Linked DNA regions of Astyanax mexicanus. The protein of the gene in region 2 purifies or fractionates together with the protein of the main gene of each other region. This does not show direct contact. Links are inferred from orthologs where the notes say so. Each region holds a gene or a part of one and is shown on either strand. Other genes may lie near its edges.

Region 1 (8,091 bases), on a different chromosome or scaffold from region 2:
CATTCTGTGAAAAAGAGAAATGTAAATCTGAAGTGAGCTCAGACCTGAGTCTTAGACTGACTGCTGGGTAGCGCCCTCCTCCAAAGATGGGCATATTGGACCCCACTAACATATGGATGTCCTCAAATGTCCAGAGGATGTTCCGTACATATTCATTCCTTAAGCCCTGTGCCAAAAAGAGAGAAGACTAGCTAAATAACACTGATTATGTCTAGTGATTCTACTTTCATTCAGTAACACAAGCAAAAATAATTGTGCTTTACTCTTACCTGGCTATTCTCTCCTTCATTAAAAAGTGTGGGAAGGTTCTGCTCTTTAGGAACAGATGACACATGACCAAGAGCATACGTGTTCCCCACTCGCTCCTGAAAAAAAAAAGAAAAAGAGAATATAAAACCTCTCTAAAATCGATTTCAGACATAAACAAACGAAGCAGCTAATTATACCTCTTTGGGAATAGTGGACTGCTCTGATTCAGAGGCAGGGCTGCTGAAGGGTGCAGGCCAGGACGGACCATATTCAGCACTTCCACAAGCCTCTTCTTCCTCAGCACAGTTGTCCGAGTCTGAGGGCACAGGTTCGGCAACATCATTTCCATGTATACTGAAAGACAAGACAAAGTAGTGCACTTGATTACTGATGGCATTAGACGAGAACTATTACTATAATACTAATGTTCAGTTAAGAAGCCATTATTAATATATATTTCTAGCTCACCTGTAGTAAAGAAACTTGGAGAGGATGGCCTTTTCATACCAATGCTCTTTACTTTTCTTCTTCCTTTGCCACTTCTGGTCAATAAGTCTCTGGTAAAACTCCTTTAACCACGTCCAGTCTCCCGTCTAAACATGTGAAATAATTCAAATAAGCTCAATAAACTAAAATCTTATGTTGTTGGTTAGGTTTGGCATAATACAATGTGTAATTACACCATTCACTATATACCATTGGTAAGGCCTTCAGAGCTCACAAGACAAGAAGCAAATATGAAAGTAGATTAAGCATGTTATCTCAGTAGAAGGGAATGTGCTCACATGGGATGACCGCATAAAGAGCTCTTGAATGTCAAGCTCATCCAGCAGCAGAGTCCTGCCCACCCGATGAACTGCCATGCTGACATGAGACTTACTATACGGGATCTTCAGCAACTTTTTTATGTTCTGTCAAAGACAGAAAGAGACAGTGATAATAGAGCCCAGAATTCAGAGGACTGATCAGCAACTGATATTTTAGATAACTTTATAACAAAAAAAAACAACTCACCTCTGAATCAGACACCACATCAACATCATTCCCAATCGAGTCAATGAAGTCATAGGCCATACCAAAGCTTAAAAAACACAAATAAAAGCAATTAATTATTATAAGAAGATCAACTTAAAAATTCAAGAATGCATTTATTATTCAAGAATACATCTTTTAACTTCTATTACTTTTGTACTTCACTATTATAAGTCGCTTTGGACAAAAGCATCTGCCAAATGTAATTTAATGTAATGTAATGTAATGTAATGTAATGTAATTTTCTGAAAATCTCAATGAGAGTGTTTATTGTTTATACCTAGAGAATGGCTTGCTTTTACTGCTGGATCCAAGTACAGTGGTCCCAGCAGAGCCGAGCTGGGCACTCTCTCGCAGCCAGTTGGCAGGGGGCAACTTGAGATCGGTCTGCTCCTGAAGAAGTGCATAGGTGGCCGGAGGTGGTGCGGCAGAGTATTTCACCACAGCACGACTCTTTACTTCATTATTACCAAGACATTCAACCACCCCCTAAACAACAAACAAACAACAGTGCTTACAGACAATGCAATGTAGTATATTAATCAGAACTTAAAACATTAAACTTCACAAGCACAACTACATAAACATAAACAAAGAACAGAAGGAAGATTTAAGCCATCTGCATCTTTTAAAATCGGACTGTTTGCTACCAAAATAAACGTCTTACATGTATTATATTATTTATGATTATTCTATTAACAGTTTCCCCTACTATGTGTCTAGTGACATGGCTCCTTCCTCTCCATTATGCAAGACTGGTGTAAAGGAGGAGAACACAAACACTGAACCAAATAAACAGCTCAAAATGAAAAATAATAAAAAAGAATGTGTCCTTTTTAAATAGGAATTCATGAATTTCTCCAGAAACCAATGATCAACATGTTGTTAACAATATTAACAACACTCTCTGTGAACTGAACATTGGTGTATAATGACAGTGGGATTTTTGCTTTTGCAACAAGCAAGTGTTAACGTGGGCATGGTTTAATTTATTCTATGTGACTTTGCTCATACTGCAATGTAAATATTGCAATTGGACAAACTGCAACTACTATGTTGAAACAGTAAATTAGGCAGCCTGATAAAGCACCACTTAATGGAATTAGTTGGATTGTGATCTAAAAAAAGTCCTAAGACTATACACCCACTTTAGTGGTATGGCTACATAGCGTGAAACATAAGTGAAATCTAAAATTAAAACTAAAATGATATACCTACTTTAGTGGTACACATAGTTAAATTATTTAAATCCTAAGATTACACATCCACTTTATAGCTACATAACCTGACAGCTACCCAGATTACATAGCTATCCACTTTTTGGTACAGATAACCAGACTACTCCTAAGAATATATATCCACTTTAGTGGTATTTCTTAATGGCCTGAGAGCTACTAAATTTCCTAAATCCTAAGATTATATACCCACTTTAGTGGTACACATAGACAGATTACTGGAGTTCTAAGATTATATACCCAATTTCGTGGTACACATAGCCAGAATACTGAAGTCATAAGATTATATACCCACTTTAGTGGTACACATAGACAGATTACTGAAGTTCTAAGATTATATACCCACTTTAGTGGTATATCTTAATGGCCTGAGAGCTACTAAATTTCCTAAATCCTAAGATTATATACCCACTTTAGTGGTACACATACACAGATTACTGAAGTTCTAAGATTATATACCCAATTTCGTGGTACACATAGCCAGAATACTGAAGTCATAAGATTATATACCCACTTTAGTGGTACACATAGACAGATTACTGAAGTTCTAAGATTATATACCCACTTTAGTGGTACACATAGACAGATTACTGAAATTCTAAGATTATATACCCACTTTAGTTGTACACATAGACAGATTACTGAAGTTCTAATATTATATACCCACTTTAGTTGTACACATAGACAGATTACTGAAGTTCTAAGATTATATACCCACTTTAGTGGTACACATAGCCAGAATACTGAAGTCATAAGATTATATACCCACTTTAGTTGTACACATAGACTGACAGCTACTGTCCAGGTCACCACGGTAGCTAAAGTTACAACTGCTGATGGTAATTACAACTTATTAAGTTACTGAGTTTCAAGAGCACTGCTTACCTGTTTTGTATCATCACTGGCAGCGCTGTCATGCTCCAGGTCTTCATGCCTGTGGTCTGCAGACACAGACGACACCTGTTCTTGTTGTGGGGAACTCATTTTCAGCCGGACAGCAGCCTCTGGCCACCTCTCTGAGCCATCCAGAAACTTCGATGAAGTAGCTCCGACTGTCTCCCTGCGGTGTAAGGCTTTATAAGACGGGACTCAGTCAAACATGTTAACTAGTTAGTTAGGTAACCTAGCTGACTAGCTATAAGAGTGTAGCTGTAGGTGCTGCTGTTATTGTTTTGTAGTTAGCATTAGGTGGCTAACGTAATGTCACTCATACCTGTGAGCTAACCTAAGCTAGCTACGTTACACTACAAGTGGTATTGTTTTCAGAGCTGTCAGCTTTAGGTAATAACTTTAGGATGCTAAACCTTGATAGAATGGGTTTCGACCAGGGTTAACTAACGTCCCGACGTATTAACTAGTTAGCGTTAGTTAGGTTAACTAACCCAGATAGGTGCTCCCTCTTACTATACGATCCTTCAGCTCAGCTAACTCACATTTAACCATCACTAGCGCTGAACTCGCACTACCCGGAAACACATGTGACGTCGGCAAAAAGTTCTAGAAAATATCTTTATAAGATATTTCCTGACAGACACGATATTCAAGTATTTAGCTTTATATTTAATTATTTCATATACTTATGTAACGCTACACATTTTCTCTCAGTGTACGTAGCTAAATAGCTCTCTATGCCCTGATTTGTTTGGGAGGAAATGTGATCCACCGCTTTATCATGATTAATCTAACAAAAGTAGCTAACTTTAGTTTACCAAAGGCAAATTTATGAAAAAAAAAACACTGTTTTAGTAAGTCTACAACAAGAAAGATTTTTTTGCACGTATACGTATTGTTTTTTTTTTTGACCCACCGTTATTTATTTATTTATTTATTTTTATTGTATTGTAATAAATAAATAAATAAAATAATTAATTAATTAACTATGGCAAGTTAAGCTATATTTATATATGTTTCTCTTGTTAGTTAGCTGGCTAATTTGGCGATACCTGAGAGTACCACTTTACTTTGTTGATTAGTTTTTATTTATTCACTTTTATTTCTTTAAACTTCCCTTTTTCGCATTTTAGCAAGCTCGATAACTAAAAATGCTTTGCCATACAAAAACAAAAATAAAGTTACTTGTTGCACCTTTAGCTACATTCATGTCCAATCACATGGCCTGCCTGCATTCTGTTGTCATGGGGACAAAAAATGTCCCTCAGCAGACACGCGTTTCATTACAGACACATCTCACTGCTCTCCTATTGAAGCTCACTTTAAATACACTTTTCACTTTAAATACATTTTTCACTTTACACTTTTCACTTTGAATACACGTTTATGATTTAAATATACTTTAAACTAGAACCATTTTATATTTAACAGGTAGTTAACATGATGAAAGGAGGCAAAAGATACGCAAATATGGAGCAAGATGGTAACTGGGTGAGACATCTTTTTTTCTGTGCTGCTAATCATCAAACAAAAACAACAAAATCTAGATACTATTACTACAAAAAAGAAATAAAAATGTAACATTTTAATGGCAGTCAATGTAAAAGAATTTCATTTTTACTGATCCATCCCAAATAAATGTATCTAGAAGTTATAGACCACTTCAGTTTCTGAATCAGTTTCTCTTGTTTAAGTAATTATAGGCATATATTTGAGTAAATTGAACATTATTGTTTTATTCTATAAACTACAGACAACATTTCTCTCAAATTTCAAATAAAAACATAGTCATTAGAGCATTTATTTGCAGAAAATGAGAAATGCCTGAAATGTCAAAAAGATGTGGAGCTTTCAAACCTCAAATAATGCAAAGAAAACAAGTTCATATTCATAAAGTTTTAAGAGTTCAGAAATCAATATTTGGTTGCATAACCCTGGTTTTTAATCACAGTTTTCATGCATCTTGGAATGTTCTCCGTTCTCCTCCACCAGTCTTACACACTGCTTTTGGATAACTTAATACTACCCCTAGTGCAAACATTCAAGCAGTTAAGCTTGGTTTGATGACTTGTGATCATCTATCTTCAGGTTTTCAATTTGGTAAAATTAAAGGAACTTATTTTTTAAATGGTCTCTTATTTTTTTCCAGAGCTGTATATGTAAAATGCATTTTAAATACATTTCAAATATACCATTATAATCTATATTTTATTTCAAAATATTTTTCAAACTATTGCAGTAGATTTAGGAAAAAAACTTTTTTCACCAACTTCATACATTTTCAAATATTAAATCTTATAAATTTATTTACTATTCCTAAAACTATTCCAGGTGACTCTACCTCATGAAGCCACTGTAAAAAAAATATACCAAGAGTGTGCAAATCTGTGATCAAAGCTAAATGTGGCTACTAAAAGTTTACACATTTTTTACAAAATAATTCTGCATGTTCCTGTATAGCTCAAAAATGTAAAACCAGCAAATGATGGACATGAAAGAGTCATAGAAAATATAGCTAAAAATGTCTTCCCTCAAAGAATAAAACTGTTTAATCCACACTATTTCTATATCAAATAAACTCTGTTTTTAGTTTGCTCATGGTGGTGAAAAGTCAACAATGTTTACGAGCACAGGAACCATGATGGCTCAAGGAGTGCTCCAGCCTGTGCCACATGCAGCAGAAAGATATCCAAAACGAAACCCTGAAAAGGTTAGTTATATTATTTTTCTAGCTATAGTTTATAGGATATGTACATGCAGTGCAACTGTCAGCAAATTATGTTTATTTAGTTAGTTAACAGGTGGCAATCATATATGATATACAACATAATACACATTTTATATTATATTGCCTTTATTATGATGATTTTCTGTTCTGTATCAATAAAAATGTAAAACATTCTGGTTTTTTTTTCATTCTTTTTATTCAGAAAACAATGGGAAGAGACTACCCTTTTTCAGCGCATGATAACCGGGCAACACTGCAGAATAAAATTGAAACATATGATCATGTAAGTTTGTATTGTTTCAAGAAATTTTGACACAGTGTAAATAATACTACCAAATAAAAACCAATCTCAGTTATGTCAAAAAGTGACAAAACAAAGCCATTTGAAAAATAAATATATTTATTTATTACTAAATAACTTTAGAAGACATGATTATTATGCTGTGTATTTCTGTAATTTTCTTTAGGTTTTGGGTCGGAAGAAGTGTCTTGATGACCACAGGCAGCATAGCTCTCATTTTTGCCTTTGTCATGATAGCAGTGTGTGTGCAGTGGGACTGACGCCGAGAACTCATTCTGCCTATCAGTCTGACTTTGTTCCAAGGCAGGGAGCAGAGAGTGAGGAGGGCACACACAGAAGGCGCTTTCCCAGGAGTCATCTGGAGCGGTCTCAGCAGGCTGTTAATGCTGGGGAACATTACATGTGGTTTGGAAGGCATGATCTCGACCACCACACACCTCTTAATGTATTAGCAGATTCAAACCATTCCTCACCACTATAACTGACATGATGCAGTTCCTGCAGAAAGTATTAAAGCAGTCTTAAGAAATAGCAGCAGTGTTCTTTGTGAGTTTTTGTGTTTCCAGTTTCTACCAGTTTTACAGAAGCCCATGACTTTTTTATTGTCCACAAAGAGCTTTCTTTAATTTTAAAATTATTAAATTAAATACTTACCCATGCTGTGTTACACACATCCCTGCCTGGTATTGCATAGCCTGGTAAAACATATGCTGCTTCCCTATTGTGTTCTACACTAATACTAATACTATAAAGTATATACTATAAAATTATCAAAACAGTGTGGGTTTGGTAGATTAGTACAAAAAATATGAACCTACTAACCCATTTTAACCTGTATTAACAGGAAGTGATGAAGTATTCTCCAACATTTTTGTTTTGTTTTTGTTTAGTTTTTTTATTTTCCTCCCTTTTTGACATTTATATGTTACGACAATAATGTACTACATTTATTATTTCTGTTAATAATAATGCAAAAAGAAGGAATTTTAATTAACTGCAGCATGGTTGTCTGCAGTTTTTACTTTTCAATATCATTTGTTAATAAATAAATTTTAGCAACAAAAAATTAGAAAAGGTTGAACGAGTCAGCTTTTTTTGTGAGCCGAGCCATAACAACTGGCTCATTAAAAATAGACCGTAATTCCCATCACTACCATCAAGATATGTGCTAGTCTTCTCACTCCCAGTGTTTGGGGGCATCACCATTGATACTGGGAGTTCATACAAATGGGCAATGGATAATTGTTCTTTCAAACTGGGGAGAAAATGTGGTAAAATTAGAAAATAGTTAATTAATTAGCTCACTGCAAACAAAACCATCTTTTGGAGCTACAGTAAATGCTTTGAAGAGCCTTTATGTCCTTTTTACTGTTTGTGTCCAAAACTTAATGACTTGATGCCTTGCTACCCACTGTTATATTAAGAAGGTATCTGTATTTGAATCAAAAAGAAAGGGGTATCTATCACTCATTGCTAAATATGAGCACGGTAGCTGTGATATTACCCAATAAAACACAGGAATTTCTGAACTTAGATTACTAAATTTCGATTCAGACATGAATTCAGCATGCCTTAGAGAATCACTAAACTACTTGATGTTTGCTGACTCCACCCTAAATTTGGAAAGGGTTAAAAAGAAATGGGAGGGGTAGTTT
Region 2 (8,036 bases):
GCTATACATTGACTATTCTAAGTTATATCCAAGTTCAATTCCTATAATTTTGTCTCATGAAATAATACTTAAAAGAGAAAGATAAATTATTGTTTTTTTATGTCCACTAGAGGGCGTGGTGAGGTCAGCCAGGAGACGTGTACTGAGGGAAAGACCAGAGCAACTAAACGCAGGAAGCCTGAAGTGGCCTTGTCTATCAATGTGGGTGTGTTCAGATAGTACCGCCCCAGCTAGAAAGACACACCCACCACAAACAGACCACACCGGGTCAAGGGTCATGGCATGAAGAAAAGGAGTGGCTCATGGGAAATACTGTAAAGACTTGCTGCTAGAATATGTTGCGGAGTCTGAAATCAGAATTTGTAGATCCTCCCGCAGTGGATTGTGGGAAGGTCTCTTGCCAGCTTACAGGACTTAGTTCTGTTTTCTACTTCATTAGTTATCGGTTAAATTCTTTTTTTAATTTTGTTTTTCTGAGATTTTTGTATTTTTGCAGCTTCCCTTGCTGGGAATATTCTCATATTTTGTTCATGTGGCATGACAGGTGTGCAGGTGTATACAGGTGTGTGCAGGTTTGTACAGGTGTTTAGGGTTTTTTCTTAAGTTTGCTGAAGTTTCTTTAAGTTTCCTTTTGCCAGGGGAAGAAAATAATAAATACACACCTTTAAAATAATAAAGCCTTTGTCCTGCAGCACCAAAACACTGTTAAAATAATGTTAAATCTCTCCTCAATCTGATTGGGCAAATTGTAAGGTGTGTTTGGTGTCATTGAGACTGGTTTTCCACACTTCTGTCTGTGTGGATTTTAATAGTTAAGACGAGTTATGATGAACTTTGCTGTGCTGGTGAATATGTTGAACACAATTGGCGGAGCAAACAGATCAGAGTGAAATAAAATAATTTACTTTATTTTTTTTTCATGAAAAACTTTCAGGTATTTCATAACATTTTGGTTTGATTATCAATTTAATTTAAAAATCAAAATTAATCAAGAAATAAAATTCTCTCTGAAAACTGTCTACTGTGTAAGGTAATATATGTAAGTGTGAAGTTATTATTGTAAGTGTGAGGTTCTGATTTCATGCATGAGGTCATGATTCCATTAGAAGTATGAAAGTACTTTTAAGTGAATATTTAATCTTTACATTGTTTGCTGTGAGCGCTTTCAGTAAACACAGTGTAGCCTTTTAAAAATGTGACAACATGGCTTAAACAGAGTAAAAAATAAAGGAAAGAAAGTAAAAATGGAAAAAGCTTACAGCACCTGGTATTCCCAGGCGGTCTCCCATCCAAGTACTAACCAGGCCCGACCCTGCTTAGCTTCCGAGATCAGACGAGATCGGGCGTTCTCAGGGTGGTATGGCCGTAAGCGATGGCTGAGCTCCCAACAAGCCTATTTATACGAGTCTTTTCACTGTCATTTACTGCTTGTGACAAAAGTAAAACAGCTCTACGGACTAATACAAAGCCTCAAAATAAAAGCTCTTTTTAACTTTCCCTGGAAAAAGTAACCAAAGAACAAAATAATAATAAAAACACCCTGTCTTCACTTCAACTCTACATTTTTTATTCAATTTTGATGCTTTACTTTTGGAATGAAAGCTTCAGATTAGGTCAGGAAAAAGCCCAATACAAAAATAAACTAATACACAAAAGGATATCCTGAGAAATAAATAAATAAAATCATACACATACATTAAAGTACACTTAGCATGAATTTAAAGAAAAGTACCACGTCCTACAAAAGGTGCTCTTTTAAATTTCTATTCTCCGCTGCCCTCCAAACAGCCTGAGTCCGCCACACACCTTGATACTGCGGTCAAGCCAGCCCCCACTTCAAAACGCTTGGTCAAACTAGCCCCCACGCTGTTTCTCAGAGCGCGCATACACTGAACTGATCCAGGTAATTAAGACCTTCAGGATCACATGAACATTCTAGACTCGGGTGTGTTAAATCTGAAATTTTCAGCGTGGTAGAGCCCCACGAACAGGAGTGAGCCGCCCTGTACCTATACTGTGATGATAAGAAAAAAATAATTAATGTGGTTATTTTTTTATTTGCATGAAGAAGGAATATTCTTCATCAGAAGAAGGAAAGTACTTAAAAGTGAATACTTAATCTGTAAATTGTTTACTGCGAGGTGAGCGCTTTCAGTAAACACAGTGTAGCCTTTTAAAAATGTGACAACATGGCTTAAACAGAGTAAAAAATAAAGGAAAATAAGTAAAGATAGAAAAAGCTTACAGCACCTGGTATTCCCAGGCGGTCTCCCATCCAAGTACTAACCAGGCCCGACCCTGCTTAGCTTCCGAGATCAGACGAGATCGGGCGTTCTCAGGGTGGTATGGCCGTAAGCGATGGCTGAGCTCCCAACAAGCCTATTTATACGAGTCTTTTCACTGTCATTTACTGCTTGTGACAAAAGTAAAACAGCGGCTCCCAAAAAGCCTATTTATAAGACACTCACAGACCTGAGTCTTTTCACTGTCATTGAGATCTACCACTCTGCACAGCTATACTGGAGCCGGTTTATGGAGAGCCTCAACCCACTTCATATCTCCCCCGTTATAGCACAACATGAATGCAGACCGCTAGAGGGAGCCCGTGAGGGAGTACAAATTCAATACGGGTGAATGGAGCTAATTGGCTACAAACTCAAATTAAAATTTGGAACTAAGCACTTGACCAGGATATTCCTTTAATTTTGCAAAGCAGAATAACGGGTTTTGCTTAAAAAAATATCTGCATGTTTCCATTTTTCTACAGTAATCATACTGCTAACTGGTGAGCTGATGCTGGAGGTTGAGCCAGATCACGTTTAAAACACTAGTAACTGGTGTTAAGCTTTAAAAAAATATGTATTTGGTACAGAAGCATTTGATATTGTTCTGTTTGAGAAAACTAGTACATTATTTTGTAAAAAAAAAAAAGATCAAACATTAATTGTATTTATTTGCTCTATATTCCTAAGTGGGTATTCTCCTCTCTATACATTCTCTGGTCATACGAGCTGGTGGACTTAAGGGGTGGCCCCTTCTTGTGCCTCCATGGTTAAAAAAGTGTTGCTAAAGTGCCCTCTAGAGTGGTAAAAAGAGAGACAATATTAGTTATTTGATTAATTTCTTATGGGGAAAGTGATTGAGTTCCTGCTAGGGTGTCCCTTGTGACAAATTATGATGATGTTCCTTCTAGATCAAGACATTTTTACTAATGCGTCTTAATGAGTGCCAATCTATTTGTGCCCTTTTTCTTTCCAATAGGAAAGGCAGTCGCTATGATGTGCTGTCTTTGCCCCTCCCCCTAGACATTGTCCCAAAAGGGCCTTCCGTAGTTGAGGCAATATCATGCAGTAACCTATTAGTGCCCATCAATGAGAAAACTGGATTTGGCGGTACAAGCTAATTGTTGTAAGTGATGACATATAGTTTAAAAATCTTATTCCCATTCTTAAACTTGTATCTATTTATGTTTCCAGTTTTAGCAACACCCCCTCTAGAATGAACATGCCCTATGTACTAAGGCGCCCTTTATTTTTTTCTCCGCTGCCCTCCAAACAGCCAAAGTCCGCCACACCTGATTCAGGTAATTAGGTCTTCAGGGACACGTGATCATTCTAGACTCAGGTGTGTTAAATCTGAAATCTTCTGCATGATAGAACCCCAGGAAAAGTAGTGAGCTGCCCAATACCGGTACTTTGATAATAAGAAAATATGAATGAATGTTCTTTTTTTATTTGCATGAAGAAGAAATATTCTTCATCAGAAGTATGAAAGTACTTTTAAGTGAGTATTTTAACTGTACATTGTTTACTGTGAGCGCTTTATTTGAAGAGTAAACACGGTGTAGCATTTAAAAAAATGACAACATGGCTTGAACAGAGTAAAAAATAAAGGAAAGAAAGTAAAGATAGAAAAGCTTACAGCACCTGGTATTCCCAGGCGGTCTCCCATCCAAGTACTAACCAGGCCCGACCCTGCTTAGCTTCCGAGATCAGACGAGATCGGGCGTTCTCAGGGTGGTATGGCCGTAAGCGATGGTACGGCTCCCAACAAGCCTATTTATAAGTCACTCACAGACCTGAGTCTTCCTACGATATTTACTGTTTGTGACAAAAGTAAAGCTGTACTAATACAAAGAATACAAAGAAGCTCTCAAATACAAATACTAAAGTTGCTGTATTTATTTATTTATATACTGAATTTATTAATTTATTTATTAGTGATTTTATATATTTTTTTCTTTTTGATTTCTGAATTTTCTTTATTCATTTATATATTTTTAATTTTGGCAGTTTTGGTCCTCCATACTGTAACAGCAAGGCGTAAGCATTTGTCCTTAATGGCGTTTTTTCCCTCTTACATTACTTTTACTCATACTTTAAATAGTTTTAATCCGGGTTCTCGTCACTGAGCTCCCGACCTGAAGCGGCGCAGTGGAGCTGTAGTTAGAGGAGCGGCTGCAGTGCTGGGGTAGAGGAACTCAGCGCAGCGTGTACACGCGTTTACACTCTGCACTGTTTATAGTTTACCATATATACATATTTATTCATATCTCTACAGCGTTCTTATCTAGTCATATTAACCTGCGTTTGTTTCCTTCCCCAGCTTCAGTAACAGAGTAATAATAAGGGTTGTAGCTCAGTAAACACGTCTCTCACAGTCTCCAGTGTAGCTAATAGAGCGTTATAATGGCTCAGTCAGACAGCGACGATGGAATGGACGAATTTATGGAGAAATTTAAGACACAGAAATACAAAAATGCGTTCAATGAAAGCAACTGGGAGGAGGTAAGACTACACTTCCTTATCTGAACTTTGTTTCCCATTCTTTCTCTAGTAGACACTAAAATGACTGTGTGTCATCCTATTAAAATCCTCCTGTGTTTTATTAATTACAGGAGTTTGAGAAAGTACCCATGTTTATGAAAACAGCTCCAGAGGAGATAGACCCACTGAAGAACCCGGACCTCGCCTGCATTCAGTCCATTATTCACGATGATGACCGACCACCAGAAGGCAGGTTATCACCTGTATAAAACTTTACTTTCTATCTAGTTATTGTATTTGCTGTTGGACGGCTGTTTCATAATGATGTATTAATACTTATTTTGCTTCTTTAGAGCAAGCGAAGAGTCTGAAGGACGAAGGTAACGAGTATTTTAAGGAGAAGAACTATAAGAAGGCGATAGTGGCCTACACAGAGGGGCTGAAGAAGAACTGCTCAGACTCTGACCTCAATGCCATCCTGTACACGAATCGTGCTGCAGCCCATTTTTATCTAGGTATGTACTCAGTCTAACACTCATTATTCACATATGTTCATGCACTGTACAACTGGCTAATGATGGCAAAAGTGGGGTGTTAAACTTTCTTGATAAAATTGCTTTAACCTCAGGAGATCGCTGGTTCGAATCTTGCTCATGTAGCTTGCCATCGGCTACTGGAGCCCTGAGAGAGCACAATTGGCCTTGCTCTCTCTGGGTGGGTAGATGGTGCTCTCTATCTCCACATCACTCCAAAGGGTGATGTCCTCAGCACAAGGCATCTGTGAGCCGATGTATCAGAACCGATACATCTAAAATGTCTTTTACATAATCTGTTCTATGGTTTGTGTGTTTTTCTGCCAACAGAATTTTTAGGGTTCAAGCACCGAAGGTGCGTAGAACCCTATTGTTTTTGCTAAGATTTTTCTTCTTCTTATTAGGGTTCAAGCACCGAAGGTGCGTAGAACCCTATTGTTTTTGCTAAGATTTTTCTTCTTCTTATTATTATTATTATTATTATTATTCTTTTTCTCCTGTAAAAACAGTTGTGCAGCCTAAACCGTAAGTCATAGAGAAATGAAACTTGGTAGGTAGATGTAGGATCAGTGCATCTCGGTGGACAACAAAAATGGCACCGATTGGTCAAGTGGTGGCGCTATAAACAAGGAAATTCATTTTTCACAATTTTCTCAATAACTCAAAAACCATAAGACCTACATTCAAAATTCTTTTTTTGATGGATTCCTTGGGTCAATACCAACAACTTTCCAATTTGGACCATGCACTTCCGTCTATATAGATTTTGTGCTAATTTGCATAATATGCAAAACCTACTTTTGCAAACTAGTCCTAGGAATTTTGACCAATCCTGGCATGTTTGGTATCAAAACACTCGTGAGAGCATGCGCTTCAATATTCATTAAGAAAAAGTTGAAATATGTAAACAATATGGCCGCCATATGCAAATTAGTCCTTCCGGATATATGCCCCATTCACTTCAAGAGGTAAATTTGGAGCACTGTTTCTCAGCAACCGTGCAACCTAGCAAGTTGAAACTTTGCATGCAGAATCTATCATACAGCCTCTAAAGGATGTTCAAAGGGCAACTTAATCAATCAACATGGCTGAACACCATCAGCCAATCAGCATTCAGCAGACATTTTGGCAGGCTGAATGTTGCCCAATCTGGATGATATTTGGCAGTTATGTTCAGGTGGAGACACTGTAGTGACCTGCAAAGTGCTGAAACAATCCGCCCACTGGGGGGCGCTGTTCCAAAAAAACGAGTATATGTCAATCATGCTGTACTATTTTGACATCTAATTGTTTTTGCCATATTTAGTACAGTGGCTCTGACAAATTTCTCAATACAACTATGTTTAAAAAGTGCTTTGTTCATTCATAATTGCTAATTGTTTGAAAATAGCTATATTGAAACTACTCTCTGGATATTTGGCCTATCACCTCCATTTCAGTCTTGCTGCACACTGTAGAGTCTCTAGGTAAATGTTCATTAAAAACATTTGTGAAAATTTCACATACAATACTCTCCAGGCATCAAGCAATCTGTGCGTCCTTGGAATTTCTAACCTAAATTGCTGTAACTCTGCAGTATTTGCTGTAATCTCACAATGTTAAAGACCTCTGTACAATATCAGCCATTTAATACAGAACTAGATTAAGAATAACTTGACATTACATGTCATATCAGAACATTCACTCCTTTGTGCCTCTTCTCAACATTAATAACAGGTGAAAGACTTTTGATCATTTTAAATGTGACAGAATGTCTCCAATTGTGTTAGACCTTCTTACACATCACCATCCTATGCTCTAGTAGGCACCATTGTGCTAGTTGGTGCTTGATGAAGCGCCATTTAATTCAGAACTAGATTTATAATAACTTCGTAATTACATGTCATATCAGAACATTCACTCCTTTGTGTTAATTTAAACTTGTTTGGTCAAACATTTCAGCTTGTTCTGCAAAGGTTCAAAGGTCAATCTGAATACCACTTTGTGAACATTCTGGTTGAAGCCACCTGATCAATACCAATAACATGTAGACACCTTTTGACTAGTTCTAACTCACTTAATGAATATCCTACAAAGTTCACTAGATTTACATGTGAATTTAAGCACTGATCAGGTTGAAAGGCCTCTGCTCAACATTAATAACAGGTGAAAAACTTGATAATTTCTAAATGTGACAGGGCATCTCCAATCATATTAGACCTTCTTACACATCACCATTCAATGCTCCAGTAGGCACCATTGTGCAAGTTGGTGCTTGAACCCGATGATTGCCGCTTGCGGCTATATATATATTTTTTTTTTCGTGCATTGCTTTTTGCATTTTCAAAAATATGCAATGTGTATTTTTGATAATTATTTATATTTATTTTTTTGTTTCTTTTAAAACAGTTAAGAAATGTTGCTAAATTAAATATAACTAAGTTTAGTATTCCCTTAATGTTCTATAGGAAATATGCGATCAGCGTTAAATGATGCAACTGCTGCAAGAAGGCTGAAGTCAGACCATATTAAAGCCATCATCAGAGGTAAATAATTGCATTATCCTGTAATATTGCTGCAAAACCTTCTACACCAATCTATTTTAAATGTTTAAAAGGTTTTGTTCTAGATACACTGACAGTACTTTAGTTAGCCAGTAAATAATGTTTAACATTTCTGTAGGGGCTCAGTGCTGTATGGAACTGCATAATTATGCAGAAGCTTTGCAATGGTGTGATGAGGGCCTCAGAATATTGCC

Evidence for each region. Proteins that work in one complex are often made in the same cells at the same time.
Region 1: the proteins of ttc4 (region 2) and edrf1 purify together in Homo sapiens (affinity purification with mass spectrometry; 3 studies listed by BioGRID and IntAct, counting the BioPlex papers as one, with this or other methods). This does not show direct contact. The link is inferred for Astyanax mexicanus from reciprocal best matches to the Homo sapiens genes TTC4 and EDRF1.

Annotation. Positions count from the first base shown.
Region 1 is NC_064421.1:19,745,040-19,753,130, forward strand, and holds the start of edrf1 (erythroid differentiation-related factor 1), read right to left. Parts: upstream 3,533-8,091; 5' UTR 3,501-3,532; coding exon 3,402-3,500; intron 1,771-3,401; coding exon 1,562-1,770; intron 1,331-1,561; coding exon 1,264-1,330; intron 1,161-1,263; coding exon 1,035-1,160; intron 843-1,034; coding exon 718-842; intron 604-717; coding exon 447-603; intron 366-446; coding exon 270-365; intron 167-269; coding exon 45-166; intron 1-44. Other genes in the region: tex36 (testis-expressed protein 36), read left to right, coding at 4,848-4,898, 5,998-6,117, 6,338-6,418, 6,603-6,917. UniProt on the Homo sapiens protein: Transcription factor involved in erythroid differentiation. Involved in transcriptional activation of the globin gene.
Region 2 is NC_064412.1:25,878,579-25,886,614, reverse strand, and holds the start of ttc4 (tetratricopeptide repeat protein 4), read left to right. Parts: upstream 1-4,440; 5' UTR 4,441-4,688; coding exon 4,689-4,787; intron 4,788-4,897; coding exon 4,898-5,015; intron 5,016-5,119; coding exon 5,120-5,281; intron 5,282-7,746; coding exon 7,747-7,824; intron 7,825-7,960; coding exon 7,961-8,036. Other genes in the region: usp40 (ubiquitin carboxyl-terminal hydrolase 40), read left to right, coding at 111-219.